Oryctolagus cuniculus: one gene and its partners. The protein of the gene in region 4 purifies or fractionates together with the protein of the main gene of each other region. This does not show direct contact. Links are inferred from orthologs where the notes say so. Each region holds a gene or a part of one and is shown on either strand. Other genes may lie near its edges.

Region 1 (4,285 bases), on a different chromosome or scaffold from region 4:
CTGCCGCCGTATCCCCAAGCACGCTCTCCATTTATGCCTTATTTGTTGCTGTTTAAGATTTATTTATTTATTTCAAAGGCAGAGTGACAGGGAGACAGACAGACATATCTTCCATCCCTGGCTCACTCCCCACATGGCTGCAAGGGCTGGGGCTGGGTCAAGCCAGGCCAGGAGCCCTGAGCTCCACCAGGTCTCCCACGTGTGTGCAGGGCCCAAGCCCTTGGGCCATCTTCTGCTGCCCTCCCAGGCCACAGCAGAGAGCTGGATCAGAAGTGGAGCAGCCGGGACTCTAACCTGGGCTGGGATACGGGCTGCTGGGGCCTCAAGCCATGGCCTAACCCCTGGTGCCGCAACACTGACCCCACTCCTTGTCTGCTGTTGTGCTAACGTATTCCTTTTTCTTTTTCTTTTCTTTTTTTTGACAGGCAGAGTGGACAGTGAGAGAGAGAAAGGTCTTCCTTTGCTGTTGGTTCACCCCCCAATGGCCACCACGGCCGGCGCACCGCGCTGATCCGATGGCAGGAGCCAGGTGCTTTTCCTGGTCTCCCATGGGGTGCAGGGCCCAAGCACTTGGGCCATCCTCCACTGCACTCCCTGGCCACAGCAGACAGCTGGCCTGGAAGAGGGGCAACCGGGACAGAATCCGGCGCCCCGACCGGGACTAGAACCCGGTGTGCCGGCGCTGCAGGTGGAGGATTAGCCTAGTGAGCCGCGGCGCCGGCCAACATATTCCTCACTATCTGTGTCTCCCCAGACGCCAACTCCGCCAGGACAGAATTCATTTTGTTCACTGCTACACCCAGACCACACGGACTACAAATATATGGCGAAAGTACGAACACAGGAATGAATTTTAACATTTCGGAGATTCCAACAACCTCAAACTTGGGGTGGGGCCAGCAGGTTGGGCCTCCGCCTGCAGCGCCGGCATCCCATGTGGGTGCCAGTTCAAGTCCTGGCTGCTCCACTTCCCGTCCAGCTCCCTGCTATGGCCTGGGAGAGCAGCAGAGGAGGGCCCAGTGCTTGGGCCCCTGCACCTGCCCGGGAGCCCCGGGAGAAGTTAGGGGAGTGGTGGTGGGCGTGCAAGTGTTCAGCCTGTAGCTAAGAAGCCGGCCTCCCACATCTGGTGCCTGGGTCTGACTGCTGGCTCCGGCTTCCTGCGAACACAGACCCGGGGAAGCGGCAGTGACAACTCAAGCGACTGGCTCTCTGCCACCCACGTGGGAGACCCACGTTGCGCTCCTGGCTCCTGGCTCCAGCCAGAGGGTTGCAGGCAGTTGAGAAGTGAAACAACACTCTGTCTCTCTCAAAAATAAATAAGCAGGGGCCGGCGCCGCGGCTCACTTGGTTAATCCTCCACCTGTGGCACTGGCATCCCATATGGGCACTGGGTTCGAGTCCCAGTCACTCCTCTTCCTGTCCAGCTCTCTGCTGTGGCCCGGGAGTGCAGTGGAGGATGGCCCAAGTGCTTCGGCCCTGCACCCCATGGGAGACCAGGAGAAGCACCTGGCTCCTGCCATCGGATCAGCACAGCGCAAGGCCCATGGCGGCCATTGGGGGGGTGAACCAACAGACGAAGACCTTTCTGTCTCTCTCACTGTCCACTCTGCCTGTCAAATAAATAAAAATAAACAAATATTGATGCTGAAGATGATGTACACCCGGCAAACGTGCATTCCTACAAAAAACCAAGAGGCTGAAACACTGCCAGTGCTTATCTCTGCCGGCGATCTAACGGTGAGTCTTGTATCTTTCCCATCCGACCCTTCAGTAACTCCCGTCAGAAATTCTTACAGATCAGGAACCGGACCTCTGATAAGGTGACTGGCAGGCGGGGAGCCCCCCTTGTCCCCCAACTACAAGGCCCTGCACTGCCCTGCGGCACAGCGTGTATTCATGCAAGGTAGTTCATGCAACCTTGAGTCTTCCTAAGCCCACACAGGAACGACCCCTACCCCGGGCCCAAGCTGGGTGGGGGGCTCAGGGAGGAGGAGGGAAGCCAAGTCTGCCCTCCGTCCGCCCCCGGCTGGGAACCGCAGGGTCCCCGACTTACCGCCCCCGCCCCCGCACACCGCCGGGACCCGCGGAGTCCCCTTCCTCCCGCCCCCGCCCCCAGACACCGCCGGGACCCGCAGAGACCCCGACTTACCGCCCCCCGCCCCCGCCCCCAGACACCGCCGGGACCCGCAGAGACCCCGATTTACCGCCCCCGGACACGGCCGGGACCCGCAGAGACCCCGATTTACCGCCCCCGGACACGGCCGGGACCCGCAGAGACCCCGATTTACCGCCCCCGGACACGGCCGAGACCCGCAGAGACCCCGACTTACCGCCCCCCGCCCCCGCCCCCGGACACCGCCGGGACCCGCAGAGTCCCCCTCCTCCCGCCCCCGCCCCCGGACACGGCCGGACCCGTAGAGTCCCCTTCCTCCCGCCCCCAGCAAGGAACGCCCAGAGATCGGCGCTTCAGACCCCCAGAGTCGGGGCCGCCAGAGTGCAGGCGAGGCGGCGTCAGGGACTCGTCTCGCAGACGACGCCGAGGGGCTGCCCTGGGCCCCGGTCGGGCCCGCAGATCACGTGCAGAGCCCTGCGGCCGCCCCCTGCACCCCGGGGCCCCCCGTACCGCATGAAGCCCGTGTCCGTGGTGATCGTGTCCCCCGGCACCACCAGGTGCTTCTTGGTATCACGCCCCAGACTCTCGCTGGGAAGCTTCCTCGCCACCGGAAGGCGCATCTCCATCGCCATCTTGGCGCCAATAACCTGCGCAGGCGCAGCTCGGCCCGGAGCCGCGGAATTCAGCCCGGCAACTCCGAGAGGGGCGGTCTGGGGCGGGGCCTCAGGGCAGCCGCCAATGGGAGCGCACGGTGTGGCAGCCATGTTGACTACTGGCAACCGTTATGTTAACCCGAAGGGGAGGAATGCGGAGTTTCCACGTTTATTACTGGCAAGGGTGCACCTGTGGCGTGATGGCATTCCACAAGCTATTGTTTGTGGCTTTTTATCAAAGCTGTCTGGTACTGCCATCCTGCTTATTGTTTACCAGCGTTAGACGTAATTGAGGAATGGGCCTCTGAGTTTCCGTCCAGCTCTAAGCCGCTAAAATCTGATTTTTGTATGACAGCGCCCAGGAGGACACGATTTCAACAGAAAGCATAGCCATACTTTCTTTTTTTCAAAAGATTTATTGGGACTGGCGCTGGGACGCAGTGGGGGTAAGCCGCTGCCTGCAGCGCTGATTTCCCATTGGGCGCCCAGCTGCTCCACTTCCCATCCAGCTCCCTGCTGATGCGCCTGGGAAAGCAGTGGAAGATGGCCCAAGTGCTGGGGCCCCTGCACCCTCGTGGGAGACCTGGAGGAAGCTCCTGGCTTCGGCCTGGCCCAGTTCTGGCCCTTGCAGCCATTTGAGGAGTGAACCAGTGGATGGAAGACCTCTCTGTCTCACTGTCTCTCTGTCTCTCTCTCTCTCTCTAACTCTGCCTTTCAAATAAATAAATGCTTTTAAAAAGACAGTGTTTAAGGAGCCAAGCAATTTCTAAAGCAGTGTTCCAAGTTTAGGGAAAAAAGATTTATTTGAAGGGCAAAGCCACAGGGAGAGACAGCGAAAGATCTCCCATCTGATGGTTCACTCCCCAAGTGGCCAGAAACTAGGAGCCAGGAACTCCCCCCACAGGTCTCCCATGCAGGTGCAGGGGCCCGAGCACTTGGGCCATCCCCTGCTGCTTTCCCAGGAGCATTAGCAGGGGGCTGGATCGGAAGTGGAGCGGCCGGGACTTGAACCTGCACCCACATGAGATGCCAGAATAGAAGGTGATGGCTTAACCCATTGTGCCCTGGCGCCAGCCCCAAGCGCCCCACTTCACACTGTTCCCAGTGGCCCCAGTCGGTCAGAACAGCCGCCTCACGGCTGCTGGGTCAACCCAGCCCGCACCCCCACCCACAGGCAGCACGCCGGACACTGCTGAGCCAGCTGACTTCTCTGAAAAAAGAGAAAGAGAAGTGAAGCGAAGCAGGCCACACCCCGCGAGGCAGGTGTGTGTGGTGGAGAGGGCAAATGCGCACACACAACCAAGGCCTGCACCTGCGTCTGTGCCCACAGCAGCCTCCGCCCGCGTGCCGGGCACTGCCTGTCACGTCACAGGAGTCCCTGCCGGTGGAGCGATGCCTGTCCCGTGTGGTCTTATCTGCCACTCCTGCTTAAAGGAGCTGTGCCTCCCGGCCCCTCCTCATCCCCTCCCCCTCCCTCCTCGTCCCCTCCCCTCCCCCACCTCCCTCTGCCCCTCCCTCC
Region 2 (3,500 bases), on a different chromosome or scaffold from region 4:
AGTTCATAATGACCTATGGGTGGAGAAAGGGAAAAGCCTGGATAGTGCAAGGAGCATGAAATGGGTGGGAAGAGGGGCAGGAGAGGGGCAGGAAGTGGCCCCGAGGAGAGCAGAAGGCCTCCAGCCCCATCCTGCAGAAGCACAGAAGTGTGGCTCTGCCTTCAAAGGGTGAGGGGGTGAACAGGGGGACTCAGCCTCCCTGGAGTGGAAGCCCCCTTGACATCACGATTTCTCTGCTGCCCCAAACACTAGATTATGAAATCTTAATCGATGGGATAAATCCCCGGAACCGCGCGCTCCACGGAGACCGGGTAGCAGTGAAAATGTTCCCTGAATCACTCTGGAAAAGGAGAATGGGCGCGGATCACGAGGGCTACAGTGAATATGTGCCCACAGGTGAGCCAGCGATGCCACCCTGGCATCCAACCTTTGTACAGAATTGGGTATTTCTTTCTCATTAGCAATCCAAGAATAAGGAATTTTATTTAAAGTGGCAGACAAATTGTGATGTATGTACATATTGTAGAATGGCTGCATCGAGGAGGTAAACGGCATGGGACACATGGTTACCACTTTCCCCAAACAAGTTCTCATTGCATTCCAGCCTGTGCTCTGTTCGTTATTCAAAGCAGCTGCCACCTCCAGCCCTTTTGCATACCACATCGAAATACCTGGGTTCAATATAGGCTCAGATTCCAGCTTCCTTCTAATACTTGGGAGGCAGTGGTGATGGCCCAGGTCAGGTTCCTGTCACCCGCATAGGAGACCTGGAGTGAGATTCTGGCTCCTTGCTGTCCCTAGCCTTGTGGGTATTTAGGAGTGAACTAACAGATGGATGTGAACTCATTCTCTCTGCCTCTCTATAAGCATATTTAAATAGTTTAATTATTTTGAAATGAAAAGTGATAGTTCTATGCCAAGAACTCCATCAAGGTCTCCTACAGGGGTTGCACGTGGGTCATCCTCTGCTGCTTTTCCTGGGCCGTTAGCAGGGAGCTGAATCGGCAGCCAGGGCATGAACAGGCAACCGTGGGATGCCTGCTTGGCAGGCTATGGCTTCACCCAGCTATACCACAGTGCTGGCCGCAACAAGTTTATTTCTTCAATAAAAAAAGGGTGAAAATGATTTGACATTTCCAAGATACTGAAACCCGAAATCAGTGAGGTAATGGTAAAGGAAAAAGCAGGACCACTGGATTCCAAATGTCACCTCCGAACCCATAGAAAACTACCAAAATTATCCATGTAAAAAAAATCGGGCATCTACATCTTTAAAATTGCTAAGAAGGCAAATCTTCAGATTCCCTTGAATTAAGTGAAAGTGCTTGGAAAAATGGGACAGGGACAGTTAGATGGCAGCTAGCTGGCTAACCCTTGTGATTTGTTTTCCACAGGACATGTGGTGGGCATTACTCAGAAACATAAGCGGGATTACATAGTAACATTCCCATCAAAGGAAGACATACTATATTACAGCAGAAAAACAAAGAAATACCTTGCTGTGCCATGGGATTATAGGATCCCCAGAATTCGAATCAGCAGGAAGCAAGCTGAAAAATATCAGGTAAAGGACACTGCACCATGGCTGCCCTGCTTCTGTCTTTGCCAGCTTCTTGATCAGTGCCAGAAAGCATTGTTAATTCCTTTGCTCATAAATTATGGATGGCATCTGGCACTCCAAGGTACTGTTGGTTAAATTCTAAATATATAGGTACCATCTATTAAGTAGTCTAAGGCTAATAAATGAAGGCTTGAGTGTCCTAGAAAGCACTCTGTAGGACAGCCAGAGAGAAAACACATTATTCTGACCAATGGAGAAGCTTCCAACAGCTGTACCTTGCCAACACTAACTAGCTTTCTTCCAGCAAGCAAGGTAGAAATACAAGCCCTGTGCCTTGTAGGGATGATGTGGAAGCTCTTCAGAGAATCGATTATCTGTGAAGGAATATAGGTGGGAGGGAAGACAAGACTAGGCACTGTCCAGCATCACCTGCCTCCAGCTATGCAGCCCACTAGCCTGGTCATTGTCTCTTGTACACCTTAAGCCCTGTTACAGGCTCCCAGAGGCCTGTTTCAATGGCTTGCTGAAACTGCTAGACAGTGAGGGTCCTGTTGACACTGATGCCCCCACCCAAAAGGACCTTAAAACTTCGAAATACCTCCTACAATCTGAGACCTAGGTTCTAGAACTTTCCCTGAACCCTGCACCATTGTGTTCACAGCTTGTGCTGCAAGTGTGCACCATACCATCTGGCAAGTCAAACTCGCCAGCAACACACCACCCTGCAGACTGGCCACCCTCTATAGAACTGTCTCTGATCTCTCGTTAGCTAATGCTTTTAATAACCCACGGAACCCTGGATGCGAGGCTAATAATTTATGTACCTTCTCCTGCAGTTTTGCAGAGCAATTATACATATTGATTCCTGGGACACGGATTCGAGGTATCCAGACGGACACGTCGTAGGAACCCTGGGAACAGGCGGAGACCTGGAAGGGGAAATGAAGTCTCTGCTCATGGAACATGACATTTCCGAGCGGCCCTTCTCTGAAGCCCAGGTCAGATTCCCGGAGGCCTTTGGTCTAACGACAGACACGTTATGCACACAGCGACCCACTGTGAAGCCACAGATAACCCTCGATCAGACCCAAGTCAGTTTGAAGTGTAGCTCTCAAATCTGTATGTCCTACAACTATGTTTCAAAGTGGCAGGTCAGTGTCTCACGGTCAGGATAGGTCCACCTGGCAATTCGAGGATAGCTGGTTGTATCCCCAGCAGAGCCCCATCTACCCATCATTCAACCCCAGCAACAGGATGCATGTCTGAGCCTTAGGTCTGAAAGCAATGCTCATTATGAAGCTTTCTTAAACTTTACAGAAAACAGAAAGCCCACAAACACAACACATTGGCTTTTCCATCACTTTCACATCATTAGAAACAGATAATAAGCTATTCTCTTGAATGTGCTATTCACTGATAGGCTCTGCCAATGTGTAATAATTAAGCAAAAGAAACCTACTTGGTTTTAAAAGTTGATGGTAAATTACTGTATTTGTGCCCCTGCATGCTCAGCCATTTGGCTATTTGCCTGTTATTTCTATTCAGTATAGAATGCTACTTCTCATTTATAGCAACATTATACGTTAATTTGGTCAATCCTTCCCTTGGTAATCTCACGGTAAGGATTACCTTTTCCAAGTCAAAGGGCATAGAATGTTGAAGTAGCTTTGTTACTTGTTGGCAGACTGTTTCCCAGCTTGCACTGCCATTAGGGGTATGAGTTTTTGGCTGATCCAGAGCTATAATTGTCAAATATTTGAGACTGCTTTATGTCGTTTAAATTTTCATGTTTTACAGTAGTATTTTGTTGACTTGTTTGGCAGCTCTTACAGAATGATTCCATAAAGTGGGTTTAGAGGTCACAGGACAAGAATTCTCTCTTCCCTGTTAGCCTCAACTAACTGCAAGCTGATGGTCAAGACAGGGACAGGGAGAGAAA
Region 3 (2,985 bases), about 7.2 Mb from region 4:
AGCCATGCTCCTCTGCTTTCCCAGAAGCCAGTTCACCCGCCCTCTCCCCAGGGGCTCAGGCTGGACAACGGGCAGATGAAGGCAGCCCAGGGGCCCACTCAGCGGCAGTGCAGGCCTTTGACTGGACTGCTGTGGCCCTGGCCACGGAAGGCTGGGATCCGGCTTCCACCCCCAGCAAAACCCTTTCCAGCTCTCGGGAACCCTGCGCTGGGGCCTCTCGCGGCACAGCCATGAGCTCCGGGACCCCCGAGTGCTCCCGGGCCGTCCAACTCTCCTCCCGGCGCAGCAGCCGCCCTCACGGGCACCGGAGGCGGCGGCGTGTCTTCCTGCCAAGCACACGGCCCACTTCTAAACCCGCAGCTGCTTCAGGATTCTGGCCCGTCTGGTCGGCTCACCGGTCCAAGGGACACGACACAGGCGGGGCAGTGCTGTCCTGAGCCTCACCGCCAGGGAGCCTTGCTCTCTCTGAAAATCCTGTACTAAGAACCACGACACGCGTATTTCGAATACAAAAAAAAACGGTTTTGTTGTTTCAGTCCCGCTGTGAGAAGGCGCAGCGCCCTGTCCATCGTCTCCGGAGTCACACAGATCCCGCGCTCCGGACCAGGCCGGCTCAAGTCCTTCCCAGCTCGGGAGTAAGCAAGCAGCCCGCGGCTTCCTGCGCTGGCTTCTGGCTGGGGACTGGAAAGATCGTCAAACGTTCGTCTGTCGACAGCCGTTCCAACGCAACTGTCCATCTCCGCACGCTCTGTCCGCTCGCGGCTCCACTTCGCCCGCCGGCTCAGGGCAGGGCGGCGCCCCTGCGGCGGGCGGCCCGCACCAGGCACTGCTGCAGCACCGGGTAGAGTCGCTGGCAGCCCTCGAGGCCCAGCCGCACGGCTTCGGCCCAAGTCTCGGTCGCGTCGCCCTCCCCGCTGCCCAGCAGCCCGGCCACCTGGTTGAGCACCGGCATGAGGGCCACGGTGAGGCCGGCGGCGGCGCGCTCCTCCTCCAGCCGCGTCGGGTCCAGCAGCCAGGCGGGCGTGGGCCCCTGCGCGCGGCTCAGGCCGCAGCCCACCACCAGGTCGTACATCTCGACGCCCGCGTCGGCCAGGGCGAGGGCGGCGGCCGTGAGGGCGGCGGCCAGCGCCGAGCCGCCGTCCTCCAGCAGCAGCGCCGACACCTCGAGCTGCGCGCGCGGGTAGCGGCTCAGGCGCACGGCCGGCTCCAGCGCCTCCTGCAACGCCAGGGCCAGCTCGCGCTCCTCGCCGCCGCCCGGAGGCGCCCGGCGCCGGCGGCCCGAGAAAGGCGCACGGCGGAAATCGCAGACCAGGCGGCCGCGCAGCGCGGCCGGGGCCTCGCCGCCGGCGCCGGCAGGGCCGCTCCCTCGCTCGCTGCCCTCGACCTGGCGTGGGCCCGACACGGCGCACAGCACCTTGGTGCCTCCCGCCTCCAGGTAGGCCGAGCCCTTGGCCTGGCTCAGCAGCCCGGCGCGCGCGTACACCGGCCGCAGCCGCGTCGGGTCTCGGGCGGCGGGCTCCTCTTCCTCGTCGGCGGCGTACAGCTGCGGCGGCTGCGACTCGTCTGGTCCGCGGATGCGGCGGTGGTCCCCGGGCATGGCGGCACCTGGCGAGCACACCGCTTCCGCCCGTCGTCCTACCGCGCGCTCCGGCTCTTCCGCCCGCTTGAAGACGCGCGCTCGCGCGGGGGCTGTCGGGAGAGCCGCAGGCAGTCGCGGCTGCACTGCCCCCTGGCGCCGTGGAGGGAGAACGGCTGCGGCGCCAAGGCTTTGAAGCCGCAGCAAGGTTGCCCAGGGCTGGACGGGCCGGTTGACTGTCTCCCAGGCCAGGTCCTACCCGAGCGCTTAGTCTTCTCACTTATGCAGGCTGTAGTTATCTTAGTTTTGCACTAATCTGTGGGACTATTTTATATGTCCCCACCGGGGAGTTGGCCTTGCTCACTCCCAAGCCCCTGGCTGGCACGAAGGCCTATATGATGGATGGAATCTCTCTCCAGCACTGGCTTTATGTAAGTCTCTTTGTATCATTAACACGGACATCAACACCCCCTTTCTGCCTCCCCTTCCCACCCTGAGAACCGCCCCTCACCCCAGCATGCACCTGCTTTTCCTTCTCCCTCCACTGTCAGCAGCACCGTGACCTGGGCTCTGGGGCCAGCCGCTGTATCCAGAGGACAGGACATCCGTTGGGGCTGGCACAGGCAAGCAGTACCTTCACCTTCCAAACTCTGCCATTTTAGACTTGGGGAAACTGGACTCAGAGACCGGCCAGTGTCTTTGGGTCAAGTGGGAGTGATGGGCAGACACTAGAGTAGGAGGCAATAGCTGCACCTTAAACATCTTCTGTACCAGAGACTGCCCTCCAGCCTCATACCCTGACCCCACATGAAGAGCTTCAGAGGGAGGGGAGGGACATGAGCCAGAGCCGCCGCCTGCAGGGCTGGCATCCGATGTGAGCACCAGTTTGAGACCAGCTGCTCCAATCCAGCTCTCTGCTATGGCCTGGGAAAGCAGTGGAAGATGGCCCAAGTGCTTGGGCCCCTGCACACGCGTGGGAGACCTGGAGGAAGCTCCTGGCTTCGGATCAGCACAGCTCCGGCCACTGCAGCCCTTTGGGTAGTGAACCAGTGGATGGAAGACCTCTCTCTCTCTGCTTTTCTGTAACTCTGCCCTTCAAATCAATCAATCTTTAAAAGAAAAAAACAATGGAGGTTCTCCAGGCGCACCTTTGCTTTGTAACCCCTCGGACCACTGAATTATTAGAGCCTCTCTCTCCATCTCACCCCCGTCTCCACAAACACTGAGTTCAAGGGTTTAGGGCTGGACTGAGCTGGAGTCAGCATGTTTTACACACCCTCGGGTAGCCAAGAGCTGTCAGCAGGGGTGCATGCTGGGAGGTAATGACCAGAAGGCATCAATGAGTATTGCACATGGTCCTTTATTCTCTGCAGCACAAGTGCCCACCTGCAGACCCAGAAGCCTCGGGT
Region 4 (3,957 bases):
CAGTCTCCCAGTCACAGTCACAGCTGGAAGTACCAAGAATGAGGACTTTCAGCATATTAATTTGGGGGGACACAATCCAGCCTATGACATGCTCAACTCTATTGTTCCCACTTGGCAAACTCTGGTAAGAGGGCCTTTGTCTCGTTCTCAAGACCTTCATAACTTCTGTTCCCTCTTTTGAGTGCACTCCTCCTCCAACTCTTCATATAATAGGTTTTTCTCAATTTTCAAGCCTCAGTATCATCATCTGGTAAGGGTCATCCCAGACCACCTTGGTTGAAAGAAGCCTAAAAGTCACTCTATCACATCACTGTTTGCTTTCACCCATGGTACTCACCCCTTACTAACGTCCAGGGTGTCAACTCCAGGAAAAGGAATTCATGTATTTTTATGCACTAATGTACAGCAGTGTCTCAGTGAACTGTGAATGAAAGTTTTTGTGATTATTGGGCACATTATAACTTTATTTATTCCATTAAAAAAAAAAACCTGTAGGGTCTTTTAATACTCAAAACGCTTTGCAAAGCTCAACTTTTTAACATTTAGCAGCTGTGCAAACTCCAGGGAATCCCTTCTCTTTGGGTCTGAGAGTCCCTAACTACACAATGACAACAATATTTTCTCCAAAGGACTAAATAAAATAATCAGGTAAAGTACCCAACTCAAGAGTTTCACAGATACTGCATGTGATTAGCTGAAATTCTACGAGGTTAGATGTTTCCCAAAGTGTGGGACCTGAGAATGATGTGGGGAAAAAAATTCATAGACTTCGGGTGGCAAATAACGGAGCATCAGAGCTTTTCATTTTTCAATTGCTTGGATTAGAATAGGGTCTCTTCGGAGTCAGCACTGTGGCGCAGTGGGTTAAAGCCACAGCCTGCAACGCGTGCAACCCACGTGGGTGCTGATTCGCGCCCCGGCTGCTCCACTTCTGATACAGCTTTCTCCCTACGGCCTGGGATAGCAGTGGAAGACAGCGGTGTAGACGACTAGATGGCAAACACGCCAGAGGCCTCCCTCGGGCCACAAAGGGCGGGAAGCGGACCCCTGAGGCGGCGCGGCCCAAGTCACCGGGGACGGGCGCACGGGCCCCTTCCGTGTCCGGTCTCTCGGGGGTCCGCCCACCGGGTACCGGCCGTTCTCGGCCCCGCGTCGCCGAACCGCCGCCTTACCAAGAGCGCCTCAGGCGGCGGGACCCTCCCTGAGGGACGGCGCCCAGCGCCCGGCCCGCGCCGGAGCGCGAGGTCTGGGGGCGGGGCGACGCACGTTACGTACGACGACGCAGCGCGCACGCGGCAGCACGCACGCGCGGCGCCCCGCGGGAGCCAGCATGGCGGCCGAGCGCAAGACCAAGTTGTCCAAGAACTTGCTGCGCATGAAGGTGCGGGGATGCTGGGGGAGCCGGGCTGGGCAGTAGGGGACTCCGGTCCTCCAGACCCGCCCGGGCCGGCAGCGGGCGTACGGAGAGCACCAGCGGGGGGCCCAGGGGGGCTGCCGGCTGCTGGGTCATTCATTCCCTGAGCGCCTGCCCCTGCGCTGGCACCGGGAACTGAACTTCCCCGTTTAGCCAGACTCGCCCCTTCAGCCCGCGGACAGGAGCCGGCACTTCCGTAAGCAGGCAGGAAGCCCACGGCGTTCCGAGGGCAGGGTCGGGAGGCGCTGGGCGCCGGGGGCTGCTGGCCGGAAGTGTGCGGCGAGGATGCCGCGTCCTGAACCGAGAGGAAAGCGAGGTCGGGAGGGCGAGCGGCGAGAGCGAAAAGCGGAATGTGTGCACTCGTAGGAGCCGAGGGGAATTCGGAGTGCCTGGGGGCACGGAGGGAGTTGTGGGCCAGGTGAAGACTGGTTTTCCGTTCGTCTTGTGAGCCGGGGAAGCTATGGGGCGCGAAGCTGTCAGCTTCTCCGGCTGCTTTGGTCCTGGGGAGAACACGTTGGTGGGGGAAAGCCAGGCAAGGGGCAACAGTGGAGTCAGACCCGCTAGAAGCCCTGGTGAGCCGAGTAAGGGGTGAGGGTCGCAGGGGAGGTGGGAATGAGGTGAAAAGGGTGGGTTGTGTCACCCCGTTTTAAATCGGGTTTTGGATTTGAAACTGAAGTGATTTTTATATTTGAAATGGAGTCAACCTAATTGTAATTTCATAGTGGAAAAGTTAAAAAGGAGGCAGTGGATAAAACGAACCCGGGAATGACCACAGGGAAGCAGCAAAGCCTGAAGACTTCATTCATGGCTCTTAGTCTCTGCTGTGTGCCAGGTGGATTTTAAGTGTCTTGCATCTATCTATTAGCCCATGTAATTTACATAGTAACCCTCTGAGGTGGCTACAGCCATTATCTTTCTTGTACAGCTGAGGCAACCAAACAGCAGTAGGTAACTTACCGCAGTTACACAGTGACTGAGTACTAACTTGGGCATCCAGGTCCTGAACCCCTGATCTTAAGTACTACCCTTTGCTGCCTGTCACTACTTCTGGATGCAGACTGTTAGATGTCGTGCCTATATAGTGCTGGAATGTCCAGGAAAAACAAGGCATCAGTAATGGAGAGTAAACAGCGCTTGTGCAAGGTGTGACTGGCGTTCAGGATGTACCAGGATGAGTACTGGATGGAGTCAAATTGTTGCGTAACTTACAGCTGGTAAAGTTGTCTCATACATGTGAGCAACATGTGAGTCTTGACTGAATAGACTTTTCTTTTGTTGGTGGTTTGTAATCGTCGATTTCAGAGAAATGGAGTGAGTTGATTGAGCACACATTGAAAAGATTTTAGTGTTTCATTTAGTTCTTGTAATAGGCCAAGTGAAGATGTGCTGGTGAACTAGGGCTGTGTCTGAAGAGCTGACTCTGCAGTTAACAAGAAGGAAATGAACTTAAAACAGTTACTACCCCCATCCAAGCAGAAGGGAAGAGGAAGACTTAACTGGATGTAGGAGCAGAGGAGAGGGCAAAAAAATTATCCACATTCTCTATTTGGGGTTAGCAGCTTTGGTCATTGGTAAGAAAGAGCTTATTGATAGGATGGCAGGAGACACTAAACATGCCGATGGAGTGGAGTGTCCTGCGTGAAGGCATGGGGCATCTGTGCCCCGGATATGATTATAGCTGCCGTAACTGTTCAGCTAGAGCCAAGTAGAGGGCAAGTATGAGAGCACTGACTCATTTGTTTTCAGTGTTCTTTAACTCTTTTGATTGAGTTAACTGTTGGAGGAGGAAGCTCTTGGTGGGAAGTAGAAAAAGAAGGATACAGGTGGAAAGTCACTAGTAGGACCCAGTGATTGTAGAGAGGATGTGTATTTGCAATTTTAACTCTTTTGGAGTCTTAGGACAGGACTTGGTGAACTTCTTTGTTTGTTTGTTTCTTAAGATTTATTTGAGAGGCAGAGAGAGAAAAGTCTTCCATCTGCTGGTTCACTCCCCAAATGGCTACGACAGCCAAAGCTGGGCCGATTCAAAGCCGGGAGCCAAGAGCTTCTTCTGGGTCTCCTACACGGGTGCAGGGACCCAAGGACTTGGGCCATCTTCTGCTTTCCCAGGCCACAGCAGAGAGCTGGACCAGAAGTGGAGCAGCCAGAACTCAAACTGGCACTTATATGGGATGCTGGCACCGCAGGTGGTGGCTTTATGCCTTACGCCATAGCGCTGGCCCTGAACTTTGTCTGTGAAGGGTCAGATAGTAAATGTTTTTAAGCTTGTGAACTAGGCCAAATGAGCATGGCTATGTTACAGGAAAACTATATTTGCAGCACACATCCAGCCTGCTGTGGGCCTCAGTTCTGAGTGGAGGCTAGACCACTGGCTTTGCCGTGTGTTCTCAGATGCTGGGGGGTTAGGAGAGTTTGGGAGAAGCTTGATTCATATTCACAGGGTGTTCTGTCATTTCCAGATCTACAGAATGTATCATAAAAAACAGCTACTTGATCATAATGGGAGATCAAAGGTCAGTTGGTCAGGATTGATGAGTTTGACC
Region 5 (4,284 bases), on a different chromosome or scaffold from region 4:
TTTGGTCTGGCCTAGACCTGGCCATTGCAGCCATTTGGGGAGTGAACAAGCAGATGCAAGATCTTTTCCCATCTCTCTCTCTCTAACTCTGCCCCTTCAAATAAACAAATAAAATCTTAAAAAAAAAAAAGACTCGGCCGGCGCCGCGGCTCACTAGGCTAATCCTCCGCCTGTGGCGCCGGCACACCAGGTTCTAGTCCCAGTTGGGGCACCAGATTCTGTCCCGGTTGCCCCTCTTCCAGGCCAGCTCTCTGCTGTGGCCCGGGAGTGCAGTGGAGGATGACCCAGGTGCTTGGGCCCTGCACCCCATGGGAGACCAGGAGAAGCACCTGGCTCCTGGCTTCGGATCAGCGCTGTGCGCCGGCCGCAGCATGCTAGCTGCGGCGGCCATTGGAGGGTGAACCAACGGCAAAGGAAGACCTTTCTCTCTGTCTCTCTCTCTCACTGTCTACTCTGCCTGTCAAAAAAAAAAAAAAAAAAAAAAAGACTTTACATTTAATAGGAATTCCAGAGAATAAAGTCTTTTGCTTCTCTGCAGAAAAAGGCCGCAGCCACAGATGTTCAAAATTAGGTCTCCTTTTCACCCATTTCCTAGATGTTGGAGGGAACCACAAAGTCAGGGAATCGGCTCAAATAACTATGCATACCCAAATTTTGTTCATTTTCCTAGAAATCTCCAGACCACTCAGTCCAGTGAGACATTCTGTGATGATAGAAATACCATGTGCTGACCAAATTAGCAACCACTAGCCACAGTAGCTACTGAGAGCTGGAAATGTGGCGAGTGGTTAGTATGCTTAATGAAATGTTAGTACTGTCTAGCATATTTTGAAATATTTATTTGAGAGACAGAAAGAAAGAGAACACTTCCACCCACTGATTTATTCCTTAAGTGCCTGCAGTGGCTGAGGCTGGGAGTCAAGTACTTAATCCAGGTCTCCCACATGGTGGTAGTAGCCTAACTACTTGGGCCACCACCTGCTGCCTGCCAGAGACTGCATTAGCAGGAAACTGAAGTCAGCAGATGGAGCCAGGGATCAAACCCAAGCATTCCAACATGCGATACAGGTACTTCAACGATGTCTTAGCCGCTAGGTCATATGCTTGCCCTGACACTGTTAAATTTAAATAGCCATATGAGGCTAGTGGCTATCAGACTGGACAATGCAGTTCAAGAATGATCATGCTCTGTGCACTGGGTTGGTGTCCTAAGCATGGAGGCTGGTAACAACTTACCTTACATGTTACAATAGAGCCCACATCTGGAAGTAATTGGGATTCCGCTTCTCTCATCACAGACACTACCGGGAGCTACAAAGAGAACAGTAAAAAATGAATGTTCTGGCTAAGCCCTGAGTAAAGTGTGGCTGGAGAGTTCGACAGGAATGCTGTGGCACAGAGTTGAGGTCACAAGGCAGATGGACTATGGATTCATTTACAGTCCAGGACAGAGGGTCTTCCATTAGGAAGAGCCCCGGGGGCCCTGGCAAGGCTGCTGTAGAAGACATAAGTTAACCATTCCAGAGCAGAGTTGGTTTTTTGGTGACTTGGAATTTCTCAGTACACCACTATATTACCTGTAGCCATGGATTTGATTCTGACCTCCAAAGTCGCACTGTTTCTATTTCTTATTTTATTGCCCGGCTAACATTTCTAAGTGTTTTATAATACTGGATACTGGTTTCCTTCTATCTTTAGAGAATATCTGTAGGGCTTTCTTTCTGAGCAAGCACGTTCTAATTCTGAATCCTTTTTCTCCTGTGCTACCCATCTTTAAGCTGCTCCTTCCAAGACTGCGTATCTGATCGGGAGCTGGTCCTGGTTTGATCTCTGGAACTGGCCAGGACAACATCGCTCATGTATTCAACTGACCATCTGCCTTGTGCCGGGCACTGCAGGTAAGGTGGGTGGTGCGGCCTGCTTGCGTGGAACTTTGGGCGTTTGCAGGCTGAAACAAGTGCTCGGAAGTGAGTTTAACAAAATAAAAACAAGACTCAACCTCCCCCACCCCCACCCCCGCCAAAATCCCTTCCAAAAAGTGATACGAGAGGCTAGTTGAACGAGGTCAGAGTTACATAGACCGAGGAGAGGCGCGCGTTCAGGCGGATGGCAGGAGACACGGGGGAAGCAAGCCAACTGCACTGCGGGCAGTGCCGCCGAGCCGGATGAAGACGGACAGGTCGGGACTACTCGGGCGGGATTCGGCTGGCTGCCGGATTGGCCGGGGTCACTCTCAGCTCGCAGCTGCCCCTAGGGGTCGGCAGCCCCAACCGCGCGAGGTCCACACGACCGGTGTGCGGCGCCCACGGCCAACCGAGACCAAGTCGTTCTACAGGGACGCGCCTGCCCTACCCGGGCCTAAGGGCCGGAACTCAAGGGCAGTCCATGACAAAGAAGGGAGATGGCCAGCCGCCCCGCGTACCGCGCCGTTCTCGCTGGTCTTCGTTAGACAGCCGGCGAGGGAAGAAAAGATGTATCCGTGCCGTGTGTAGGTGCCGCTGCCTGGGCTGCCCTCCTCCAAGTTACACAGACGTTCGCCTGCGGAAAGAGCGCTGCATCGGTCACTGGTCCCCAGAGGCTGCTAGGCGTCCTGCCTTCCTGCCTCTGGCCCTAGCCGGGACTCCGTACGGGAGCCGTGCACTTACCGGGGATGCAGTACCTTACAGGTGGCGCCATGACTGCCACTGTCCCAGAGCCCGGATGGAAACGAAGCCGACGTCTCGTTGGCCGAACCCAGACACAGTGCTGCAGTAAGGAACGTGCCAATTGGCGGGCTTTGTCACGTGCCCGGCGACACGCCTCCTGCAGGGCAAACTCCATTTCCCAGGTTTCCCCGGGAGAAGGCCGGGGGCGGAACTTCGGGCTCGTGTGCCTGCGCCTGCGCCTGCGCCTAGGGTTGAGGATGGGCAGGCGGCGGGTCCGGGTCCATTGGCAGGCGCTGCGGCTGGCGGGGCATGGTGGGACGGATTGAGCCAGGCCCGCCCGGGGCGCCAGGCTGGAGTAGGTGGCAGTGAGCTGCGGCCGAGGCTGCGGGGCGTGATTTGGATGATCGAGGAATTGGCAGGCGGCAGGTAGGGGCGAAGCCGTGGCCCTTGCTCCCTCTCATAGCCCCTGTTTTGTAGGGTCGGGCCCTGCCCCAGGGCCCTGTCTTGAGTCTGGTTTCTTGCTCTCCTCGCCCCGCCCTGCAAGGCCGAGCAGTCCTCGGGCGAGGCGCACCCTCTGGGCAACCATAACGCACAGAGCAGAAGTTAACCAACCCAACTTGCCCATTTCTCAGATTTGGAAATCCAACGCCAGGGTTTGACTTGTCCCGAGCCTTGAAGATAATTCAAGATAGAGCGCAAGCCGGATCCAAGCTTTCGGCTTCCAGTGCATCGCGGTTTGACCATGCCGCCCTACCTGAAAGATAAGGCTCGTTCTGCAGCTGTAGTTGTCCGGGCCCTTCTTTAACTTTTGACGAACTGACCCGTGAGAAAGTTGCTACCCTTTCTCTTAGCGGGTTAGCCAGGAAGGGAAGTGGGCACGTGAGTAAGTTGCTATTCTTTACTGACTTCTGACATCTCTTGCATGAGCTTGCACACATCCTGAGAGCAGCATCTTTGTCTAGATGAGATTGGCACGACTTTGATATTTTTTTAAATTTATTTGACACAGAGACAGAGATCTTCCATATGCAATGGAAGCAGGATTTTTTTTTTTTTAATTAATTAATTTGAAAGGAAGACATGGAGAGGAGGAGAGAGATCTTCCATCCACTGGCTCATTCCTTAAATGGCCGCAATGGCCAGGGCTGGGCCAGCCAGGAGCCAGGAGCTTCTTCCGGGTCTCCCACGTGGGTGTAGGGACCCAAGCACTTGGGCCATCCTCTGCTACTTTCCCAGGCGCATTAGCAGGGAGCTGGAATGGAAGACTGAGAATGAGAGGCCAAGGAGGGTGTTAATCACTGCCAGACGCCTGCCCCTGACGTTGGCTGCTTCATCTCCCTTCCAGTGGCTTTGGAATCTGTCCCCTCGCCTCCCCCCATTGGTTTCCCCTTGGGAACAGATGGCGCTTTAGAGCCCTGGGAAGAGGGAGGTGCCTTGGCCTGTAGTCTCCTGTAATATGATGGCAGATGGCCACGAGAGCCTGTGGCTGCTGCTGACAGGAGGACTCCGGTTGGTGCTTGGTGCAATAGTAGAACTGCCCTTTGCTCTGTTCCCTTCTCTCTGCACTGAGATTGCCCCTTCCTCAGACGCACATGATGTTTGGAATTTTGCTTCGCCTCGGGGGAGAAGTCCATTTCGT
Region 6 (3,500 bases), on a different chromosome or scaffold from region 4:
CAATGAGAGGGAGGAAGCAGAAAGCAAATCACAGTTCCTCACCCGGGCTGCCTGCTCCTCAGAACCATTTACTGCTCTCCATCGGGCAGATCCTGGCCAGGAGAGGCAGTCTGCTTCCTCCAGGAGCATCCACAGGAACCTAGAGAATGGGCCATCTGCAATTCAGACTAGTGAGAGCAGCTAGGAGGAACCAGAAGCCAGTTGAAATGGTAGCAACCGGCTGGAAGGATAACTGAGCAGAAAGGTGACCGTGGACAGCTCCTGACATCCAAGTGCAATGTTCCTGAGAGCTGGCCTCTGTAGGCTGCATGAGAATGGACAGACCTGAGCTGGCATTTTTAGCTATGTGATATTATGGAAGTCTCTTACTCTCTGAACTCCATTTGTCATCTCTCTCGAGATGACAGCAGGAGTGCTGTGAGGACCACCTTTTGTGTAACTCACCACCTGAACATGGGTTAGCACTGTACAAAGCGCGGACACGGTGGCAAGGGGAGATTGAGAAGAGCCTGTCTGTGGGCTGGCCCTTGGCTGGCATCTGGGAACTTGGCTCTCAGAGTTCCCAGTCAACAGCAAACTGATGGGGCAGTGCACTGTGCGAGACCATGCAGTACGGGTCATGCTAAACACCTGCTCTCCTAGGATCCGGAATCTTGGGATGCATTAAACAGAGGGTGTCTATGTGACCAGCACCCAGCAAAAACCTGGGGTGCTCAGTCTCACGGGGTTTCCTAGACACAAATGTCACAAGTAGCTGGTGTACAAGGGCACTTCGAAAAGGCTATAGGAAAATGGTATTAAAACATTGTGAGGGGCCGGCGCCGCGGCTCACTAGGCTAATCCTCCGCCTAGCGGCGCTGGCACACCGGGTTCTAGTCCCGGTCGGGGCGCCGGATTCTGTCCCGGTTGCCCCTCTTCCAGGCCAGCCCTCTGCTGTGGCCCGGGAGTGCAGTGGAGGATGGCCCAGGTGCTTGGGCCCTGCACCCCATGGGAGACCAGGAAAAGCACCTGGCTCCTGGCTCCTGCCATCGGATCGGTGCGGTGCGCCGGCCGCAGCACGCCGGCCGCAGCACGCCGGCCGCGGCGGCCATTGGAGGGTGAACCAACGGCAAAGGAAGACCTTTCTCTCTGTCTCTCTCTCTCACTGTCCACTCTGCCTGTCAAAAAAAAAAAAAAAAAAAAAACAAAAAAAAAAACCATTGTGAGGGGCTGACGCTGTGGCACAGTGGGTTAAGCTGCCACCTGTAACACTGGCAGCCCATGTGAGTGCTGGTTCAAGTCTCTGCTGCTCCACTTCCTACCCAGCTCCCTACTAATGCTCTTAAGAAAGCAGTGCAAGATGGGCAAAATGCTTGGGCCCCCACCACCCACGTGGGACACCTGGATGGAGTTCCAGGCTCCTGGCTTTGGCCTGGCCCAACCCCTGCTGTTGCAACCTCTTGGAGAGTGAACCAATAGATAGAAGATCTCTGTCTCTCCCTCTCTGTAACTCTTTCAAATAAACAAATCTTTTTAAAAAATTCTAAAATCCATGCAGTGTGTCATAATATGTATTTTCCACACACATTCTGAAGACTGCTCCTATTTTCATTGCTATCATAAATTGTAGCCAGGAGTGCAACTACGTGCTAAGCCCTGGCAGCCAGTCTCCAAACACGGAAGTGGCCCTGGGGACGCCCAGCGGAGCATCAACACCAAACACCCACATGGAGCAGGAGCTTACCTGCTTCAGGAAGGCCTGCTACAACCACCTGCTTCTAGAAACATGGTTATAGACAGAAGAAGGGACCAGGCCAGCAATCCAAAAACACTCCCAACCCCTAGAGGGGGAGATAACAAGAGGGAGAGAAATAACTTTTAAAAAGATTTATTGAAGAGGCAGAGAGAAAGAGACAGAGAAGCACACTATCCCATTAGCTAGTTGATTCTTCAAATGCCTACAAGAGCCTGGGCTAGGCCAAGGGTGAAGCTGGGAGCCAGGAATGCAATCCAGGTCTCCCATGTGGGTGGCAGGAACCTCATTACTTGAGCCATCACCACAACTTCCCAAGGTCTGCACTGGTGGGAAGCTGGAGTCACTAGATGATTAAAACAAGGGCAAGGCTCTTGAGAACCCGGCAGGTAAGACGAGGCAAGTGAATACCTGCCAGATGGCCGAGCGACAACTAAATGCAAACCAAGAGCATGCGCCACAGGAAACCAGGGGTTCCCATTCTCCATCTGTACCCGTTAAATCACCCCCTCTGAAAGCACTGCATTAGTACTGACCAGTCAACAAAGAACTCCACGTAGCCCTCATCTGGCTTCTCCAGCTTTGGCGTCCCCATTTCCGCTTTCACTCCCACCAAGATGTCGGTATGACCCTGCAGACACAGACGAGAAGGGTCCTCACTGGAGGCAGGCAGCCAGGCACCCAACCACCAGCCTCCTCTTCGGGACATGTAGCCCTGAAGGACTTGGCAGGTGACTTCCGAGGAGGGGAAGGGTGTTTCAGATCTGAATGGACCCCCCTCCCTGAGCTGGGCTTGGACCTTGGATGTCCCCAGGAGCAAGCTGCATTCCAAAAGCCGCAAGGGCTCCTCTGCACTGGCTCCCTGGGGCCTACCCATGTCTCCACCTGGGAATGAACTGTGGCCCCAATACTCACCAGCTTGACCCTGGCAGACCCACTGGTGTTGGACACCACATCGGTTTCCACTTCGACACATCGGTAGTCTTCACAGCCACGGCCATCCACACGGAGGTCTTCCTGAGTGCAACAACCACAGTCCTAAAGCTGTGACCCCAAAATGACCGGACTCCTTGACCCATCCGCTGCTGTCTTTCCGCTCGAGAAGTATACAGTGCTTCTCCCTTCCTCTTAGTGGGACATCCAGAATTCCGTCCTCTGAGCTAATATTACCATAAGGGAAATGGAGACGTGGGGGGCACTAAGAGTCTCACTGCAGGTCCTTCAGCTGGTGTGTCTGGCACTGCAATTCACAGGATGAACCACCACCAGAATATGGACCCAAAAGTCAAACCCAAACAGGTTTGGAAGCTTTTTTCTTTTTTTCAGAAAAAGAATCATTAGTTTATAAGTTATTCAAAGGAGCTGATGTACCACCAAAACATAAAAAACAAAAAAAAAACCTCCCCACCTGCCCAAGGCCAGCATTGTGACATAGCGGGTAAAGCCACCACCTGCAACACCAGCATCCCATAGGGGCACTGGGTCTAGCCCCAGCTGCTCCACTTCTGATCCAGCTCCCTGCTAATGCACCTGTGAAGACAACCGAATGTGGCCTAAGTGTCTGGGTTCCTGCCACCCACGTGGGAAACCTGGCTAAAGCTCCTGGTTCTGAGCTTTGGCCTGACCCAGGCCTGGCCATAGTGGCTTCTGGGGAGTGAACTAGTGGATGGAAGACCTCCCTCTCTAACTCTCCCTCTAATTATGACTTTGAAAATAATAAATCTTGGGGCCGGTGCTGTGGCGCAGAGGGTTAAAGGCCTGGCCTGAA
Region 7 (4,230 bases), on a different chromosome or scaffold from region 4:
CCATCAGGATCACAGGGCACATATTAGGGGGTCCAAACGCCCTCGGGGTGGGGTGAGGGCAGAACTGCAGAGGCTGCAGGTGCAGGAAAAGCAAGTCTGGAAGATGGAAGCATAGGTCGAGGCTGGCAAGCTGGGTGGGCAGGGGGTCTCGGACCAGGGGGCGAGCAAGGCCGGGACGAGTGTATGGGTTGGTGAGTCCAACGTGGCAAAGTTTACAGGGTCCCGGGCACAGAGTTCCAAGGACAGGAGGAACTGAAATCCAGGAGATGGAACTGGAGTCAAGCGGGGAGAAAACGGACTAGTTCAAGAAGCCGCAGCACCCAAAGAGCGGACGCCCTGGGCGCCTGCGGCTGCAGGGGAACGGGGAGCCCAGGCCCGCGCCGCTCCCGACCCCTGTCCTCACCAGTATGAGTGCTGCGGCCGCAAGCGCCACGCCGAGCACCGCCAGCTGCAGCAGGAGCGGAGCCATCCTCCATGCCGGGGCCGTCTCCGCCGCCCTCCCTATCCCGCAGCTCCACACACGCGGAAGTGCGCCCGCGCGGGCCCGCCTCCCGCCGCCAGAGAGGCCGCGGCGGCCGGGCGCCCTCCGCCCACAGCGCCCCCGCGCGGCCACGGCCGGCCGCGACCCGGGCAGGCGCCGACGGCGAGGACGCGCCGCGCGGCTGGGCCAGGCGCTGCATCCGCGGAGAGGCCGCAGACTGCAGGGCGAGCTGCGTTCGGTAAGTCAGGTGCACGAGACGTCCGCTTGAGTTTCAGCTCAACAACTAATAATTTTAACGGCCTTGAACTATGTAACTCGCATACGGTGCAGTCCACGCATTTAGAGGTATGGGTTCTATTACTATTTTAAAATTCAGGTTAAACAGATTTGGCCGTTTTAACCATGTGGAGTGCACAGTAGAGTGGTGTTGATTACCTTCGGAACTCTGTGCAACCATGTCTATAGCTAAAACTTGCCCTGTTCATCCCAGCTCCTACTGACAACTAAGGACATGCACTCCTACTAGAATGGTCAACCTTGTTTTCCCAATCTTCATTCAGATTTAGTTGGGTGGCCTGTACTGGACCTGGCAACCCTGCCTGGGAGGCAGGACATGGTGGATTAACGCACACTGCTCCAGCTCCTGGGCTTGCACAGTGTAACCTGGAGAGCAGCACGCATTTCCGAGGTGCAGGAGCTGGCAGCCCCTCACCTGGGCCTCGCCTGAGATGGGGAAGAGACACGGGAGCTGCGCACGCACTGTGCAGCCCTTGGTATAAGCTGTTGTCTCTTAAACTGCTGGCGTTATTCTGAACCCTCAACCTTTCCTAAAGAACACCCTTTCACTTCTCTGATGCCAGATTCGTCAAAATACGTGCAAGGCAAGGAAACCTAGAGGCGCATCCGGCTCGGGAAGGCCAAGGCCAAGCGAGCGCCACCACGATACCGCGCCGCCAAGCGCACCTCCAGCGGCTGCGGGAAGGCCCCGGCGACCGCCGGGACGTGAGAGCTCTGCGCAGGCGCGCGTGCCGGTGGGCGGAGCGGCGCAGGCGCAGGCGCGCGCGCGGGGAAGATGGCGGCCGGGTTCAAGTGAGTGTCAGTGTCTGGCGGGCCCGAGTTGTGGACTCTGGCGCTTGGGGGTTTCCCCAACCCTTAGTTAAGATTTTTCTCGCCTGGAAGTCGACCCCGCCAAGGTCCCGTTTTTTTCCCCGCCAAAGCAGGCGACAGGCGGGAGGACCTGGAGGTGCCCCTGAGTGGAGACTGGGGATGTAGGGACTGGAGCGCGTGTGAGCCCGCGGTGCAGGGAACGCGCACCCGGGGGACAGTTCTGTAGCCCCGCAAAGATTGTTGCATCGAGCCCCCTGTGCCCGGTCCTCCGGGTCGCGTAGTGTGTTTCCGAGGGTTGTGCGTCCTTCAAAAGGTTTGACTTCAAGCCTTTTTTGGGTGCTATTCTGTTGAAGCCTATTGACTCTCCGAGTAAGATGTTTTCTAAGGTTTTTTTTTTTTTTTTTTTCACTTGGGAGACATATGGATAGAGCTATCCATCCTCTGGTCCACTCCTCAGATGTCTGAAGCTGGGAGCTGGACAGTCCCCTCCAGGTTTCCCACGTGGGTGGCAGGAACCCAAGTACTTGAGCCAGCCCCTGGGTTCCAAAGGAAACAAATCATATTGAAGTTATTATAAACTCTTTAGGATATAAAATTAGCTTTCTTAAGTAGTAGGGCGTCCAGTAACTCCGGGAATTTCAGAGTAAAGATGAACCTCAACATGCACATGAAAGTAAAAAATCAGAACATTATCTCTGCTAAAGTTGTAGGTACTGCTGTTATTATAATGGTTTATTGCATGTTTGCAGTCATAACTGAACTCTATGCTAAAGTGTATGCTGAATTTCAGTTACAATAAATGAAGATGTGGCTTTTTTCATGATCACTAGGTTAAGAATCCCTGTCTCAGAGCAAAAGTGATTATTAAATGATTATTTTAACTCATAAATTAATCCTCTTTCAGACATGTCAAAGGACTCTGGATTCCAGTGCTCTGTTTGTTTAAGACAGTTAAAGGCAGCAATGGGGTGTGATTGCTACTGTAAGGGTATATACTTTTTATAATTACAAGGTTACTTCAAAAGGTTCATGGAAAATAAAAGAAAAATTTATTTTCATGCTCCAAATTTTGAAATCCATGTAGTTTTTCTAATACACACTTTTTTTAAAACTTTTTGAAGATTCCCCCATACTTGCAGGCAGCAACATGAACATCAAAATGCGCAAAAGAAACTTAGTTACAAGTTGTGGAGGTTTATGCTGTATCACATTTTAAAATTCTTTGCCAGTTAAGACTCATTAATTTACTTCAGTATTAACGTGTTTCAGAACTGTGGAACCTTTGGAGTATTACAGAAGATTTCTGGTGAGTAAAGGTGGTTATGTATGTGCTATTTTGATAATATATTATTACAGTATATATAATATGTAATATTCTTTTAAAGACATATTCCAAGTAATTTAAATTCATTTGCATTAATGGGGTTTAATGTGTCTCCCCTGGTGTGTGTAAAATACACATGACAATATAACATAATCTCTTATAAGTAAACTTTCTATTTAGAAAGAGAATTGTCGCCCTGATGGAAGAGAACTTGGTGAATTCAGAACCACAACCGTTAATATAGGTGAGGATGTGTTTTCCAGCTACAACTGTATGACATTTGCAAGTTTTAGCCTTCTGAACCACATACATGGTTTTTGAGCCAAATTTATCATATCCGAGGGATTTTTTTTTTTTTTTTTGACAGGCAGAGTGGACAGTGAGAGAGAGAGACAGAGAGAAAGGTCTTCCTTTGCCGTTGGTTCACCCTCAAATGGCCACTGCGGCCAGTGCACCGTACTAATGCGAAGCCAGGAGCCAGGTGCTTCTCCTGGTCTCCCATGCGCGTGCAGGGCTCAAGGACTTGGGCCATCCTCCACTGCCTTCCCGGGCCACAGCAGAGAGCTGGCCTGGAAGAGGGGCAGCCGGGACTAGAACCCAGTGTGCCGGTGCCGCAGGTGGAGGATTAGCCTATTGAGCCGTGGCGCTGGCCAATGATTTTCTGTACTATTCAGACTGAAAAATTGATTCAAATTCAAGGATAGGTGAATAATTCTAAAAACATTAATTTAATTTGTTATACCATTTTAAAATCAGTTATTCAAACTTGGAATCAGTTTTTGCAAGCAACAGATACGTAGCAAGATAATTACACATGGCAAACATGAGACACAGAGTTTTAATACTTATTTAGGTAATTCTGTAACTTTTCCTTTTAGAGACTAATCATTCTGTTTACTTTTCAGGTTCAATTAGTACTGCAGATGGTTCTGCTTTAGTGAAGCTGGGAAATACTACAGTAATTTGTGGAATTAAAGCAGTAAGTTTAACATGTGTCCCATTGAGATTTGAGCTACCAAATTAGCTTCCTGTATTTATTAAATTGTAATATACACCTATACCTCTGTGATTAGGCATTCAGGTATGTTTTTTAGTATTTAGTTGCTCAAAAAGCTTTTACCAGTGAGTACTAGATCATATGACTCAAGTTTAATGACTCTTACGCAAATCTGTCAAATGTACTAAAATGAAGCAACTTTTTCAATCCTCATCCTTAATTTTAAATAATATATCAGTTAAGAAATTGAGGGAAGTGTTTGGTGATGCCTTTTAATAGTGAGTGATGGTATGTAATCTGCATAAATGTGTAGAAAATTGA

Evidence for each region.
Region 1: the proteins of MPHOSPH6 (region 4) and EXOSC2 purify together in Homo sapiens (affinity purification with mass spectrometry; 8 studies listed by BioGRID and IntAct, with this or other methods). This does not show direct contact. The link is inferred for Oryctolagus cuniculus from reciprocal best matches to the Homo sapiens genes MPHOSPH6 and EXOSC2.
Region 2: the proteins of MPHOSPH6 (region 4) and DIS3L purify together in Homo sapiens (affinity purification with mass spectrometry; 3 studies listed by BioGRID and IntAct, with this or other methods). This does not show direct contact. The link is inferred for Oryctolagus cuniculus from reciprocal best matches to the Homo sapiens genes MPHOSPH6 and DIS3L.
Region 3: the proteins of MPHOSPH6 (region 4) and EXOSC6 purify together in Homo sapiens (affinity purification with mass spectrometry; 3 studies listed by BioGRID and IntAct, with this or other methods). This does not show direct contact. The link is inferred for Oryctolagus cuniculus from reciprocal best matches to the Homo sapiens genes MPHOSPH6 and EXOSC6.
Region 5: the proteins of MPHOSPH6 (region 4) and EXOSC1 purify together in Homo sapiens (affinity purification with mass spectrometry; 5 studies listed by BioGRID and IntAct, counting the BioPlex papers as one, with this or other methods). This does not show direct contact. The link is inferred for Oryctolagus cuniculus from reciprocal best matches to the Homo sapiens genes MPHOSPH6 and EXOSC1.
Region 6: the proteins of MPHOSPH6 (region 4) and EXOSC7 purify together in Homo sapiens (affinity purification with mass spectrometry; 4 studies listed by BioGRID and IntAct, counting the BioPlex papers as one, with this or other methods). This does not show direct contact. The link is inferred for Oryctolagus cuniculus from reciprocal best matches to the Homo sapiens genes MPHOSPH6 and EXOSC7.
Region 7: the proteins of MPHOSPH6 (region 4) and EXOSC8 purify together in Homo sapiens (affinity purification with mass spectrometry; 4 studies listed by BioGRID and IntAct, counting the BioPlex papers as one, with this or other methods). This does not show direct contact. The link is inferred for Oryctolagus cuniculus from reciprocal best matches to the Homo sapiens genes MPHOSPH6 and EXOSC8.

Annotation. Positions count from the first base shown.
Region 1 is NC_091432.1:233,342,137-233,346,421, reverse strand, and holds the start of EXOSC2 (exosome complex component RRP4), read right to left. Parts: upstream 2,801-4,285; 5' UTR 2,746-2,800; coding exon 2,624-2,745; intron 1-2,623. UniProt on the Homo sapiens protein: Non-catalytic component of the RNA exosome complex which has 3'->5' exoribonuclease activity and participates in a multitude of cellular RNA processing and degradation events.
Region 2 is NC_091443.1:89,283,800-89,287,299, forward strand, and holds part of DIS3L (DIS3-like exonuclease 1), read left to right. Parts: intron 1-252; coding exon 253-396; intron 397-1,394; coding exon 1,395-1,564; intron 1,565-2,397; coding exon 2,398-2,559; intron 2,560-3,500. UniProt on the Homo sapiens protein: Catalytic component of the RNA exosome complex which has 3'->5' exoribonuclease activity and participates in a multitude of cellular RNA processing and degradation events.
Region 3 is NC_091449.1:56,939,879-56,942,863, reverse strand, and holds EXOSC6 (exosome complex component MTR3), read right to left. Parts: upstream 1,672-2,985; 5' UTR 1,598-1,671; coding exon 782-1,597; 3' UTR 501-781; downstream 1-500. UniProt on the Homo sapiens protein: Non-catalytic component of the RNA exosome complex which has 3'->5' exoribonuclease activity and participates in a multitude of cellular RNA processing and degradation events.
Region 4 is NC_091449.1:64,159,174-64,163,130, reverse strand, and holds the start of MPHOSPH6 (M-phase phosphoprotein 6), read left to right. Parts: upstream 1-1,157; 5' UTR 1,158-1,330; coding exon 1,331-1,381; exon of another isoform or gene 1,382-1,610; intron 1,611-1,621; exon of another isoform or gene 1,622-1,832; intron 1,833-3,957. UniProt on the Homo sapiens protein: RNA-binding protein that associates with the RNA exosome complex. Involved in the 3'-processing of the 7S pre-RNA to the mature 5.8S rRNA and play a role in recruiting the RNA exosome complex to pre-rRNA; this function may include C1D.
Region 5 is NC_091446.1:32,396,791-32,401,074, reverse strand, and holds the start of EXOSC1 (exosome complex component CSL4), read right to left. Parts: upstream 2,801-4,284; 5' UTR 2,677-2,800; coding exon 2,646-2,676; intron 2,539-2,645; coding exon 2,423-2,538; intron 1,312-2,422; coding exon 1,237-1,311; intron 1-1,236. UniProt on the Homo sapiens protein: Non-catalytic component of the RNA exosome complex which has 3'->5' exoribonuclease activity and participates in a multitude of cellular RNA processing and degradation events.
Region 6 is NC_091441.1:102,789,516-102,793,015, reverse strand, and holds part of EXOSC7 (exosome complex component RRP42), read right to left. Parts: intron 2,750-3,500; coding exon 2,648-2,749; intron 2,364-2,647; coding exon 2,269-2,363; intron 1,821-2,268; exon of another isoform or gene 1,724-1,820; intron 1,718-1,723; exon of another isoform or gene 43-1,717; intron 1-42. UniProt on the Homo sapiens protein: Non-catalytic component of the RNA exosome complex which has 3'->5' exoribonuclease activity and participates in a multitude of cellular RNA processing and degradation events.
Region 7 is NC_091440.1:77,082,283-77,086,512, reverse strand, and holds the start of EXOSC8 (exosome complex component RRP43), read left to right. Parts: upstream 1-1,430; 5' UTR 1,431-1,553; coding exon 1,554-1,570; intron 1,571-2,841; coding exon of another isoform or gene 2,842-2,857; coding exon 2,858-2,894; intron 2,895-3,092; coding exon 3,093-3,156; intron 3,157-3,817; coding exon 3,818-3,891; intron 3,892-4,230. Other genes in the region: ALG5 (dolichyl-phosphate beta-glucosyltransferase), read right to left, coding at 404-680. UniProt on the Homo sapiens protein: Non-catalytic component of the RNA exosome complex which has 3'->5' exoribonuclease activity and participates in a multitude of cellular RNA processing and degradation events.